Saccharomyces cerevisiae S288C: one gene and its partners. Each later gene encodes a partner of the first gene's protein in a complex. Each region holds a gene or a part of one and is shown on either strand. Other genes may lie near its edges. A codon is read from its position in the direction of its gene.

What was found.
Region 2: the proteins of MCM16 (region 1) and CTF3 are in contact, whole or in part, in a cryo-EM structure (PDB 7L7Q), measured with the Saccharomyces cerevisiae proteins. Residues at the interface, in NP_015371.1 of Saccharomyces cerevisiae: Val20 (codon at 1,020), Arg24 (codon at 1,008), His47 (codon at 939), Arg51 (codon at 927), Leu52 (codon at 924), Glu54 (codon at 918), Ile55 (codon at 915), Arg56 (codon at 912), Gln58 (codon at 906), Leu59 (codon at 903), Gln60 (codon at 900), Ile61 (codon at 897), Asn62 (codon at 894), Leu63 (codon at 891), Glu64 (codon at 888), Lys65 (codon at 885), Thr66 (codon at 882), Ala67 (codon at 879), Leu69 (codon at 873), Ile70 (codon at 870), Arg71 (codon at 867), Leu73 (codon at 861), Glu74 (codon at 858), Lys75 (codon at 855), Pro76 (codon at 852), Gln87 (codon at 819), Leu90 (codon at 810), Glu91 (codon at 807), Asn94 (codon at 798), Asp97 (codon at 789); in NP_013485.1 of Saccharomyces cerevisiae: Trp303 (codon at 2,912), Pro304 (codon at 2,915), Ser342 (codon at 3,029), Leu345 (codon at 3,038), Ile346 (codon at 3,041), Asn348 (codon at 3,047), Ser386 (codon at 3,161), Ser387 (codon at 3,164), Met388 (codon at 3,167), Asp389 (codon at 3,170), Asn390 (codon at 3,173), Pro422 (codon at 3,269), Leu423 (codon at 3,272), Gln467 (codon at 3,404), Thr470 (codon at 3,413), Asn471 (codon at 3,416), Leu474 (codon at 3,425), Ser491 (codon at 3,476), Thr494 (codon at 3,485), Leu495 (codon at 3,488), Asp496 (codon at 3,491), Phe499 (codon at 3,500), Asn500 (codon at 3,503), Asn501 (codon at 3,506), Ala502 (codon at 3,509), Arg506 (codon at 3,521), Met510 (codon at 3,533), Ile513 (codon at 3,542), Ser514 (codon at 3,545), Asp517 (codon at 3,554).
Region 3: the proteins of MCM16 (region 1) and MCM22 are in contact, whole or in part, in a cryo-EM structure (PDB 7L7Q), measured with the Saccharomyces cerevisiae proteins. Residues at the interface, in NP_015371.1 of Saccharomyces cerevisiae: Gln8 (codon at 1,056), Arg11 (codon at 1,047), Ile12 (codon at 1,044), Gln13 (codon at 1,041), Leu15 (codon at 1,035), Glu16 (codon at 1,032), Lys17 (codon at 1,029), Glu18 (codon at 1,026), His19 (codon at 1,023), Val20 (codon at 1,020), Val22 (codon at 1,014), Tyr23 (codon at 1,011), Glu25 (codon at 1,005), Leu26 (codon at 1,002), Leu27 (codon at 999), Thr29 (codon at 993), Leu30 (codon at 990), Asp31 (codon at 987), Arg32 (codon at 984), Leu33 (codon at 981), Tyr34 (codon at 978), Leu35 (codon at 975), Ile36 (codon at 972), Arg37 (codon at 969), His39 (codon at 963), Asn40 (codon at 960), His41 (codon at 957), Ala42 (codon at 954), Val43 (codon at 951), Ile44 (codon at 948); in NP_012669.1 of Saccharomyces cerevisiae: Lys5 (codon at 1,221), Val7 (codon at 1,215), Leu8 (codon at 1,212), Tyr11 (codon at 1,203), Ile12 (codon at 1,200), Leu15 (codon at 1,191), Glu16 (codon at 1,188), Gln18 (codon at 1,182), Ile19 (codon at 1,179), Lys22 (codon at 1,170), Arg23 (codon at 1,167), Phe25 (codon at 1,161), Leu26 (codon at 1,158), Ala29 (codon at 1,149), Ala32 (codon at 1,140), Ile33 (codon at 1,137), Ile36 (codon at 1,128), Ser40 (codon at 1,116), Gly45 (codon at 1,101), Lys46 (codon at 1,098), Pro47 (codon at 1,095), Val48 (codon at 1,092), Asn49 (codon at 1,089), Ser50 (codon at 1,086), Val52 (codon at 1,080), Phe53 (codon at 1,077), Glu55 (codon at 1,071), Leu56 (codon at 1,068), Leu57 (codon at 1,065), Lys59 (codon at 1,059).

Annotation. Positions count from the first base shown.
Region 1 is NC_001148.4:654,848-657,875, reverse strand, and holds MCM16 (Mcm16p), read right to left. Parts: upstream 1,078-3,028; coding exon 532-1,077; downstream 1-531. Other genes in the region: MSF1 (phenylalanine--tRNA ligase), read right to left, coding at 1-347; THP3 (Thp3p), read left to right, coding at 1,324-2,736. UniProt on the Saccharomyces cerevisiae protein: Component of the kinetochore, a multiprotein complex that assembles on centromeric DNA and attaches chromosomes to spindle microtubules, mediating chromosome segregation and sister chromatid segregation during meiosis and mitosis.
Region 2 is NC_001144.5:877,718-882,426, forward strand, and holds CTF3 (Ctf3p), read left to right. Parts: upstream 1-2,005; coding exon 2,006-4,207; downstream 4,208-4,709. Other genes in the region: CSR1 (Csr1p), read left to right, coding at 565-1,791; leucine--tRNA ligase NAM2, read right to left, coding at 4,350-4,709. UniProt on the Saccharomyces cerevisiae protein: Component of the central kinetochore, which mediates the attachment of the centromere to the mitotic spindle by forming essential interactions between the microtubule-associated outer kinetochore proteins and the centromere-associated inner kinetochore proteins.
Region 3 is NC_001142.9:675,546-678,535, forward strand, and holds MCM22 (Mcm22p), read right to left. Parts: upstream 1,234-2,990; coding exon 514-1,233; downstream 1-513. Other genes in the region: SGM1 (Sgm1p), read right to left, coding at 1-307; protein transporter TIM8, read left to right, coding at 1,426-1,689; TTI2 (Tti2p), read right to left, coding at 1,896-2,990. UniProt on the Saccharomyces cerevisiae protein: Component of the kinetochore, a multiprotein complex that assembles on centromeric DNA and attaches chromosomes to spindle microtubules, mediating chromosome segregation and sister chromatid segregation during meiosis and mitosis.

The DNA of each region.
Region 1 (3,028 bases):
TTTATATAATATGTGTCAGATTTTGATCTTCCAGGATGATCCTTAGGAAACCCTAAAGAATCGAAGTTTTCCATTGTGGTTACCACGGGCTTGAAATTATTAAAGATCTTAAATGTGTTGTCGACTGAGTTTAATTTCTTTTCAATTAGATCGCGAAGAATGCCTACTGGATGTGATTCTTTCAAATGTAATGATCTGTCGGTAAGCTTTATTATTGAATCTGTAACATTGGTAGTCTGTGGGTCGGTCTTGTATTTTATGCCATTGATTTCTACATGTGGAACTTTAAGGGTTGAATATAAGCGATAAAGACCAGTCCTGGTCTTCATCATTCTATTGAGAAACATTGAAGTTACCTCCATTGGCAGATATTTTTTTATCCCTTCTCTCTCTCTGAATTTGTGAGTAGTTCCTTAATTTTCCTACCTTTTTTTTTTCTCGAAGATTCAAACCTTAATTAAGTAACTATTATTATTAGCGTTGTCAGTATTAAAATTATTTGAATATATAAATAGCATTAGAAGATAAAAATCAAATTGTGTAGGATATGTTTGTATATCCGGAGTGTATCTGTAAAGCAATCATCAATTCTTGTATCGTTTCATTTTCCTTTTCTACCTCAACCTGTTTTCCAGCAGTATCACTGTCGTCTGGCGGTATAGTTGGTTTGGGAAACTTCGACGATAACTCAATCAGTTTTGACATCAATTCGTCGCGTTCTGCTCTTGATTCAATCAACTGTTTGTGCAATGAAGATTGAGCACCTAACGATTGCAAGAGCTCATAGTCCAGAGAATTGCTTTCTTCTAAGAGGTTTTGTAGCTTGGTGAATAATACATTGGTATTGTCCGGTTTCTCCAACAGTCTAATAAGAAGAGCAGTCTTTTCAAGATTAATTTGAAGTTGGTGTCTAATTTCCAAGAGGCGCTGTTGAGTATGGCTTAATATTACCGCATGATTGTGTTTTCTAATCAAGTACAACCTGTCCAACGTGATCAACAACTCTCTATATACCTCCACGTGCTCCTTTTCTAATTGCTGGATTCTTTCCCATTGTTTTTCACTACTGTTTGTCATCTGTCAAAATGGTATGAACTCCCCACGACAGGAAGAAATGGTTAGAAGTATCTAGATATTGCACACTGTATGTGATGACGGCTATCATTTATTGTCAACATGCATCATCCTTCACGGTTTGGAATTTTTGAGTAAAAAAGGACTGAACATGACAAAAAATAGAGATTTGGCTGTCTCGTAAAGAAACCATAGAATACAAGGAGTAGGAACCGTTCGGCAGCGAGTAGTTGAGTTTCCAATAACATTATGCAGAATCCTTACGGTCACTTTACTAACAATACCACGGAGGACAGGGAAGCTTCATCTCAAGGAGGACCATTCGGCCAAAGCCTGAATAGGCCCCTAGATTACGCCGGATCTTTCCCTTCTCTGACATACAATAATAATAATTTCATTGCCAATCAACAACCTTCTCTGCCTTTGCCAGAACCACGTTTATCTTGGAACAACGTCAACCAGGTTTCTAACCCTTTGATGGTAACACCGCTTCCGGGATTACAAAAACGTATGAACAAAAACATTAAAAAGAAATTACCAAGAGTATCTAAGAAGGCATCAGCCCTTTCTAACGGGGTATCCGGCAATGTAATGAGCAACAGTAATATAGTAGGGCATGGTGCTGTAGGTTCGGCATCGGGATGGAAAGTTGAAATGGGTGGCAGTGATGAATTAGAGAGAAGAAAGAGAAGGGCAGAAAGATTCAGTCAGGGACCATCAGCGACGACGAATAGTAACGATAATTTGAATGAAGACTTTGCCAACCTAAATGCCATTAGTAGCAAATCTCATCAATATGACAAAAAGATTCATGTGGTAGGGCGTTGCCAAACTCTAGAGAAATCTTATCTGAGACTAACTTCAGAGCCTAATCCTGACTTGATCAGACCCCCAAATATTCTACAAAAAATGTATTGCTTGTTAATGGACAAATACCAATCTAAAACAGCCACTTATACTTACCTTTGCGACCAGTTTAAATCAATGAGACAAGACCTAAGAGTGCAAATGATCGAGAACTCTTTCACTATTAAAGTGTACCAAACGCATGCACGTATTGCCTTGGAGAACGGAGATCTTGGGGAATTTAATCAATGTCAAAATAGGATTATGGCGTTATTCGAAAACCCTACAATACCAAAAAAATCTTATTCCGAATTTATATGCTATTCTGTTTTGTATTCGATGTTAACCGAAGACTATCCGTCGATTTCTCATTTAAAACTTAAGTTAATAGACGATGGCTCTTCGGAAATCTTGGAGGACGAACATGTCAAAATGATATTTGAGTTGAGCGATATGAAACTAGTCGGCAATTATCACTACTTCATGAAAAACTACCTAAAACTGCACAAATTTGAAAAATGTCTAATTAATTCATTCTTAAATCTAGAAAAGTTGATATTTTTGACCATAATTTGTAAGAGTTATAACCAGGTCAATTTAGATTTTGTTAAAAGTGAGTTTAATTTCAACAGTATAGAAGAGACAACAAATTTCTTGAATGAGCAAAACTTGACGGAGTTCATATTAAACAAACAAATCACTGACAGTAATGGCAAAAGTAGTAATATCAAGATTTTGAATACCAAGGGATGTAGGGTACAGTTGATACAAAATTATATGAAGTCTAAAAAAATTGATATAAAGGGACAAAAATGATGAAGAGGGAAACGGGATGCCTAAGGTATATGATTTTGGTTTTTTTTTTTTTTTTTTTTTCTAAATAAATATATACATATTCACAACACATAAAATCTCTTGAGTGCATTCATCGATGTCACTTTCTTCTGGAAATCAGAGCCTAGATACCAGGCTTAAGGCCCCCACGAACAGTACGTGAGCTATTGGCCATTGTTCCTGCCCAAAAAACAGACATTTACTGGAAAAGTTTTTGAGTTATAATTAATTATATAGTTGTTTTATGATTTTTATACATATAATTAAAATAAAA
Region 2 (4,709 bases), on another chromosome or scaffold:
GCCGGCAATTACCGTATGCCATCGGAATCCAGATGCATTTCTGAACCTTTCCACTCGGGAAAACCACTCGTCATGTCACACGGAGAGTTGGCCATGAACTGGCTAATGGGATGGTCTAAGGCGACCACTGTAAGAAGAACAAGAGATGATGCAAGCTAAAGCAAGCAGGTCTCAAATAAACGCTACTTGTGCCGTTGACAGCTTGTTTATCTTGCACATGGCAAGGCCATCGCGTCCCTGCGTCCCAAGAGTGCGCGGTATACGTGCGGCCCTAAACGAGGCGGTCTCTGTTCTCTGATATATTTCTTTTCTTTCTTCGTTGTTTTGTTTCGTGTTTGTTGAGCTCCTGCCTTCAATCGGCATCGTCCTCTTGCGTACGTACATAAAATCGTTACAGCTTTGTTCACATGGTGAAAACAATAGCGTTTGGTACGCTCTTTAAATCTTGGCACTTGTCACTTACGCTCCTTTAAACAAAATCAAACATACAAATATACGGATACGTACGCACACAGAAGCATAAAAGCACAAAAGCACATAAGAAGACCACATATAAACTAGATTATGTCCTTTGATAGACAGTTGACCGAAGACCAGGAGGTCGTCCTTAAGCAAATTTGGACACACCTTTTCCATCTGTGGCAAGTTCCCGTGGATGGAACTCATATTTTCCCTAATAACTCCCTCCACTCCTCGTCCACCCCTGCTAAGAAGAAGAAATCATCCTGGTTTAGCAAGCTTCAGTCCTCAGACCATACACAGGACTCCAGCGAAGCCGCTGAAGCGGCACACCTCTATGAAAAGGGCAAGATACACAAGGCACTAGCCAATCTAGACCCGCAAACGACCAAGAAGCAGTTCTGGCACGATATCAAGAATGAAACTCCAGACGCCACCATTTTGAAGTTTATCAGAGCCAGAAAGTGGAACGCAGACAAGACCATCGCCATGTTGGGTCACGATTTGTACTGGCGCAAGGACACTATTAACAAGATCATAAACGGTGGCGAAAGAGCTGTGTATGAGAATAACGAGACCGGTGTCATTAAGAACCTGGAATTGCAAAAGGCCACCATCCAGGGTTACGACAATGACATGAGGCCAGTCATCCTTGTGAGACCTAGATTACATCATTCTTCCGACCAAACTGAACAGGAGCTGGAAAAATTCTCCCTGTTGGTCATCGAGCAATCAAAGCTTTTCTTCAAAGAAAACTACCCCGCATCCACCACCATCTTGTTCGATCTGAACGGGTTCTCCATGTCCAATATGGACTATGCCCCCGTCAAGTTTCTAATCACTTGTTTTGAGGCTCACTACCCGGAATCTTTGGGCCATCTACTTATCCATAAGGCCCCTTGGATCTTTAACCCGATTTGGAACATCATCAAGAATTGGCTGGATCCGGTCGTCGCGTCCAAGATTGTTTTCACTAAGAATATCGACGAATTGCACAAGTTTATCCAACCCCAATACATCCCTAGGTATCTGGGCGGAGAAAATGACAATGATTTGGATCATTACACTCCACCAGATGGCTCTTTGGACGTCCATCTGAAAGACACCGAGACTCGCGCTATGATCGAAAAGGAGAGAGAAGAATTGGTCGAACAATTCTTGACTGTCACTGCCCAATGGATTGAACACCAGCCATTGAACGATCCAGCATACATTCAACTGCAGGAGAAAAGAGTACAACTTTCCACCGCTCTTTGTGAAAACTACTCCAAGTTAGATCCGTACATCAGATCAAGATCCGTTTATGACTACAATGGTTCTCTAAAAGTTTGAGCCAAGCCACGCGACGCTCCATACTGTATAGACCTTTATTATAAAAACATCTATTTCTTTATATGTCCCTCTATCTTATTTTTCTTTTACTTTTATTTGTATAATACGCGAAAAATTATAGAATCATTTATTATCAAAAACAATCAACTATGAAATGAAAAACAATACGCCTGCTAATACGGTTCGCCCTTCAATTTTTGTTTTTTTTACATGAATGAGTCTTATACTAGATGATATCATCCTCTCACTAACGAATGCTAACGAACGAACGCCACCACAGGCCCTTAAAACCACTTTAAGCCTGCTATACGAAAAATCAAAACAATATGGTCTTTCTTCGCCGCAACTACAAGCACTTGTAAGGTTACTCTGTGAAACTTCCATAATAGACACAGTTACAAAAGTGTACATCGTCGAAAATTGCTTTTTACCTGATGGCTACTTGACGAAGGAACTTCTTTTGGAGATTATTAACCATCTCGGTACGCCAACGGTATTCTCTAGATATCGCATACAAACGCCTCCGGTCCTACAATCTGCGTTGTGCAAATGGTTAGTGCATGTTTATTTCCTATTTCCTGTACATTCAGAACGAGAACACAATATATCCAGTTCTATCTGGTTACATTTATGGCAATTCTCGTTCTTACAGAAGTGGATAACTCCCCTGGTTATTTGGCAAGCCACGACGCCCGTTGATGTCAAACCTTGGAAGTTGTCTATTATCAAGAGATGCGCTATGCATCCAGGTTACCGGGACGCTCCCGGTAGTGCGACGCTTATTTTGCAACGATTTCAATGTCTCGTGGGCGCATCCAGTCAGATTACTGAATCAATAATTACCATCAATTGCAATAGAAAGACTTTGAAAAGTCATCGAAACTTAAAATTGGATGCGCATTTCCTATCCATTTTGAAAAGAATATTATCCAGAGCACATCCCGCTAATTTTCCCGCTGACACTGTCCAAAACACAATTGACATGTACTTGAGTGAAATTCATCAATTAGGTGCTGATTCTATATACCCACTTCGACTTCAATCACTTCCAGAATATGTTCCCTCTGACAGTACGGTCTCTCTTTGGGATGTCACTTCATTGGAACAATTAGCTCAAAACTGGCCACAATTGCATATTCCCAATGATGTAGATTACATGATGAAGCCATCTTTAAACAGCAATGTTTTACTGCCGCGAAAAGTCATGTCTAGGGATTCTCTCAAACACTTGTACTCTAGTATCATTCTCATTAAAAATAGCCGCGATGAGTCGTCATCACCATACGAATGGTGCATTTGGCAATTGAAGCGATGCTTTGCACATCAGATAGAGACTCCGCAAGAAGTTATTCCCATTATTATTTCGGTGTCCTCAATGGATAATAAACTGTCTTCTCGCATTATTCAAACGTTTTGTAATTTGAAATACTTAAAACTCGATGAGCTTACGTTGAAAAAGGTTTGTGGCGGAATCTTGCCATTATGGAAGCCTGAACTAATCAGTGGTACAAGGGAATTTTTCGTTAAGTTTATGGCCAGTATTTTTATGTGGAGTACACGAGATGGTCACGACAATAATTGCACATTTTCTGAAACTTGTTTTTACGTTTTACAAATGATTACAAACTGGGTTTTAGATGATAAATTGATAGCACTCGGGTTGACACTACTGCATGACATGCAAAGCCTGCTAACTTTGGACAAAATCTTTAACAATGCTACTTCAAACAGATTTTCTACGATGGCTTTCATCAGCTCGTTAGATATTTTAACTCAACTGTCGAAACAAACGAAGTCGGATTATGCGATCCAATATTTGATTGTGGGCCCTGACATCATGAATAAAGTGTTCAGTTCGGACGATCCTTTGCTATTATCAGCTGCGTGCAGGTACTTGGTTGCTACGAAAAATAAATTGATGCAATACCCGTCAACAAACAAATTCGTTCGGATGCAGAACCAATATATCATGGATTTGACAAATTATCTTTACAGGAATAAAGTTCTGTCATCCAAAAGTTTGTTTGGAGTCTCACCAGATTTCTTTAAGCAGATTTTGGAGAATCTTTATATCCCAACTGCAGACTTCAAGAACGCTAAATTTTTCACGATAACTGGTATACCAGCGCTATCCTACATATGTATTATTATTCTAAGACGACTGGAAACGGCCGAAAATACCAAAATAAAATTCACCAGTGGGATCATAAATGAAGAGACGTTTAACAATTTCTTTCGAGTTCATCATGATGAGATTGGCCAGCATGGTTGGATAAAGGGCGTTAATAACATTCACGACTTGAGAGTAAAGATTTTAATGCATTTGAGTAACACTGCTAATCCATATAGAGACATTGCAGCATTCTTGTTTACATATTTGAAGAGTCTCTCAAAGTATAGCGTTCAAAATTCTTAGAATATGCATCCACATTTATATACATATATATATATATATATATATTATAACTTCCAAAAAGGAGATTGGACAATTTATATCTATAAGGCATTAATATTTAACTATTTACAAGCACTAGTGGTAAATTCATGGCGTCATATGATTACTTGTGGAATAAGAAACTAATCACATTGAATTTCATGACAAATTTTTTGATTTTTTTATTCATCAAATACATTCTCCCTTCCGGTAAGTTCATCAAAGTTTCAATAACAGCATCCCTACCTAATTTCAAAAAGTTTTTGTCAGCCGTGTACATGAATTTGACTCTGCCATTTACCACAATTTGAAACTTTTTGAATTTGGACTCAGTAGTGCGCTCAACTTCTGGCCAGCGGTATTGGTTCCATTCCATTTGGGAGTTGATCATCTCTGCAGCTTCTTCTGAAATTGACGGGACAGCAGGATATATAACGGTTACCAACTTTTGTAAATTCTGTACTATCATTTCATTCCTTACTTC
Region 3 (2,990 bases), on another chromosome or scaffold:
CGAAGCAATCAGTCCTATTGTGATCGGGATGCACCACGTCATCGACAGCGATTGAATCTGCCTTACCTGTATCGCCTTCCACAGTGCTTTCTGATCGTACCGCAGGATCATCTATGTTTTCAGCATTGTCAATTGACACCACACCGGCAGCCGCATCATCAATGGATGTACGAGCACTTTCTTGTTCATTGTTTGACAGCACCACAGGCGATGGAGACGACAAATTTGACGTTGACCTTTTATTTTTCTTTCTTCCTTTCTTAGTTGCCAAGGAGAGTCTCTCTTCCAACGATAATTTTTTACTCATAGCAAAATTGGTATACCACTACCATACAACACTTTTTATATACTATTCTGGACTAAGGACCTTTTAACGACAGTCTATTAAAAGAGGAAGTCAAGAGCTTTTTGGTGAATAATCTACGGTTACTGCCAAATTATGATCTTCTAAATTTTGGCGCTTTATAACATCCTCACACCACTACGAAGCACACTTTGACTACGAAGTATTACTTAAGTTAGACTGGTCTCATTGAAATCTATTAGTTTGATGTATTTAGTCCCTGGATTTGTAGAGCCCTCAATTACTGTTATTATATTAGCCCTAAGTAATAATCTGTATATTGGTATCGTTTTAGATGAAAAATCGTTTAATGTCAGATTCAAATCATGCTCAATTAGTCTTTTCATTAACAGCATGACTTCGTTCGTTAAGCTATCTATTGATTCATCATTATCATCCAAATTCGGTACTAGATAACCCTTGAGAAAGTCCGCCAGTGAGTCCCAAAGCTCTTTATTTCTGGCTTTTCGTGTTCTAATATGGGCGTGATCTTGCTTCTTACTGTCCATAATGGTCATTTGATGCTGCAGTTTTCGTAGCAGCTCTTTCAAGTCACTATTAATATTATTCTGTAACAATAACATGGCCTTTTGATCAACTGATTGATCATTCATAAGCGAGAGCCATTCACTGGAACTTTGGGCTCTCAAAGACAAAAAATTCGATGTCAAACTGAAACCAATAGGATCAGCTCTCTCTGAGAAGAACATGGGTTTTCTTAATAACTCTGTAAAGACCTCAGAATTGACCGGTTTACCCTCTGTATCCAGAGATCTCTTCGTGATCTCATCGATGGCACCTTGAGCTTGCTTCAAGAAATATCGTTTGTTTCCGATCTGGTTCTCCAGGTTCTTTATGTAGACATCCAGGACATCCTTTTCAACATCCATGTTTCCTTTGTGAGACTTTCTGCCGTTTGCTCTTGTCCCTCTTTGTCGTCATATGCGTCTTGTTTGTTGTTACGCTGCATATCAAAGCGAACGGTTAGTTATTAACTAACGTAAAAATTGATGGAAACATTCATTTATATGAAAGTATTGAAGAAGAGGTAAAAAGGAAAACAAATTTACAAACAACAAAGAATGTCTTCTCTATCAACGTCTGATTTGGCCTCCCTTGATGACACTTCCAAAAAGGAAATTGCTACTTTCTTGGAGGGAGAGAACTCCAAACAAAAAGTCCAGATGTCAATCCATCAATTCACTAATATATGCTTCAAAAAATGTGTTGAGTCTGTCAATGATTCTAATTTAAGTTCGCAAGAAGAGCAATGTTTGTCTAACTGTGTGAATCGGTTTTTGGATACTAATATCAGGATTGTGAACGGGTTGCAAAACACCCGTTAATATGAAACCGATTTATCTCTCCGAGTCATTATTCTCTTTACCTTAATATATCTGTAAATAAGCAAATGAATATTTTAATATATGTCCAAGGTTTCTTTAAAAGGGATTCTTCAGCATAAAGGGCAAATAACTCTTTTTGTTTATATACTGTCTAGTTATATATATATATATATGTATATGCATTTGTCTGTGTCTGTGTCTGTTTCCTATGAGAACTCAAAAAGTAACTGAAACCGCGGTTGCTTAGATAGAGTCGATAACTGTTCACCCATAGCGCAGTCACAATTCAGCAACCAGCTTATCGTTTCCTTACATTGTTGTAGTATTGATTCGTTCAACGCATCCTCTTGCGAACACTTATCGTATGTAACTAGAATTAATGATAAAATGTCGAATCTGTGAGCCACTATTCTTTCATTCGGGCAAACCTTTATGAGAGTACTTACCACTGAAAGAGTTTTTGAAATAAGTTTTGGAAAAGTTGTGTAAAAAGGATTTCGTACAATATATTCACCTAAAACAAAAATCAGCCTCTGGAGATGTACAACAGACCCTTCTCTTTGAAGTCTCAGTATGTTCATTGTGCATTCCAATGCGTATAACGTCAAATTTTCGTATGCAAGGCTAGCCCTAGGAATTATGTTTTGCAAGATTATCTCTGACATGAACTTTTCCAGGTGATATTGATACTTTGTGTAATTGTCCAAAAATTCTACTTTATATAACGACTGTATCGTTGGGAAAACGACCCGCCATATGGCTATTGTTTCATCAGCATTGTATGAGGGAGGGAGAAAATAGCACATATTGATTAGCGTCTTTTCGAACAGTGGAAATAAACCAGTACTAGAGAACTGTATCCATTTTGAGTCATTGGTTTCGTTCATAAAGGTATGATTTAATAGCGTCTGTAGGAGCAGAACACCACGAAGTTTAATTCTTCTTATATCAGTGGTATCATCTAGTATGTTTAGAATTCCTGGAATAATCCAAGAAAGATTCGTAGATATGTCTCTCCTTTTCAAATGTAACAGAATTACGTAGAATAACGGAATGCCTTTCAAGCCACCCTGACTTACCCACGCCTGCATTAGGTTATCTTCTTTCAAAGACATTCCAAGCGTGGGTTTGAGACCAAGATTACGTTGCTCTTTGAGTTCGAAGTTGCTTTTGCGTTTTAAAAGTAGTGGCTGTAACTTAGAAATAAGGACGCACATAATTTCGTCATGTTCACTTTTGTTACGCTGAAAGTAGTAATCTATAGTCTGCAAAACATCTGTGTTGATTTGTATGTCTACTCC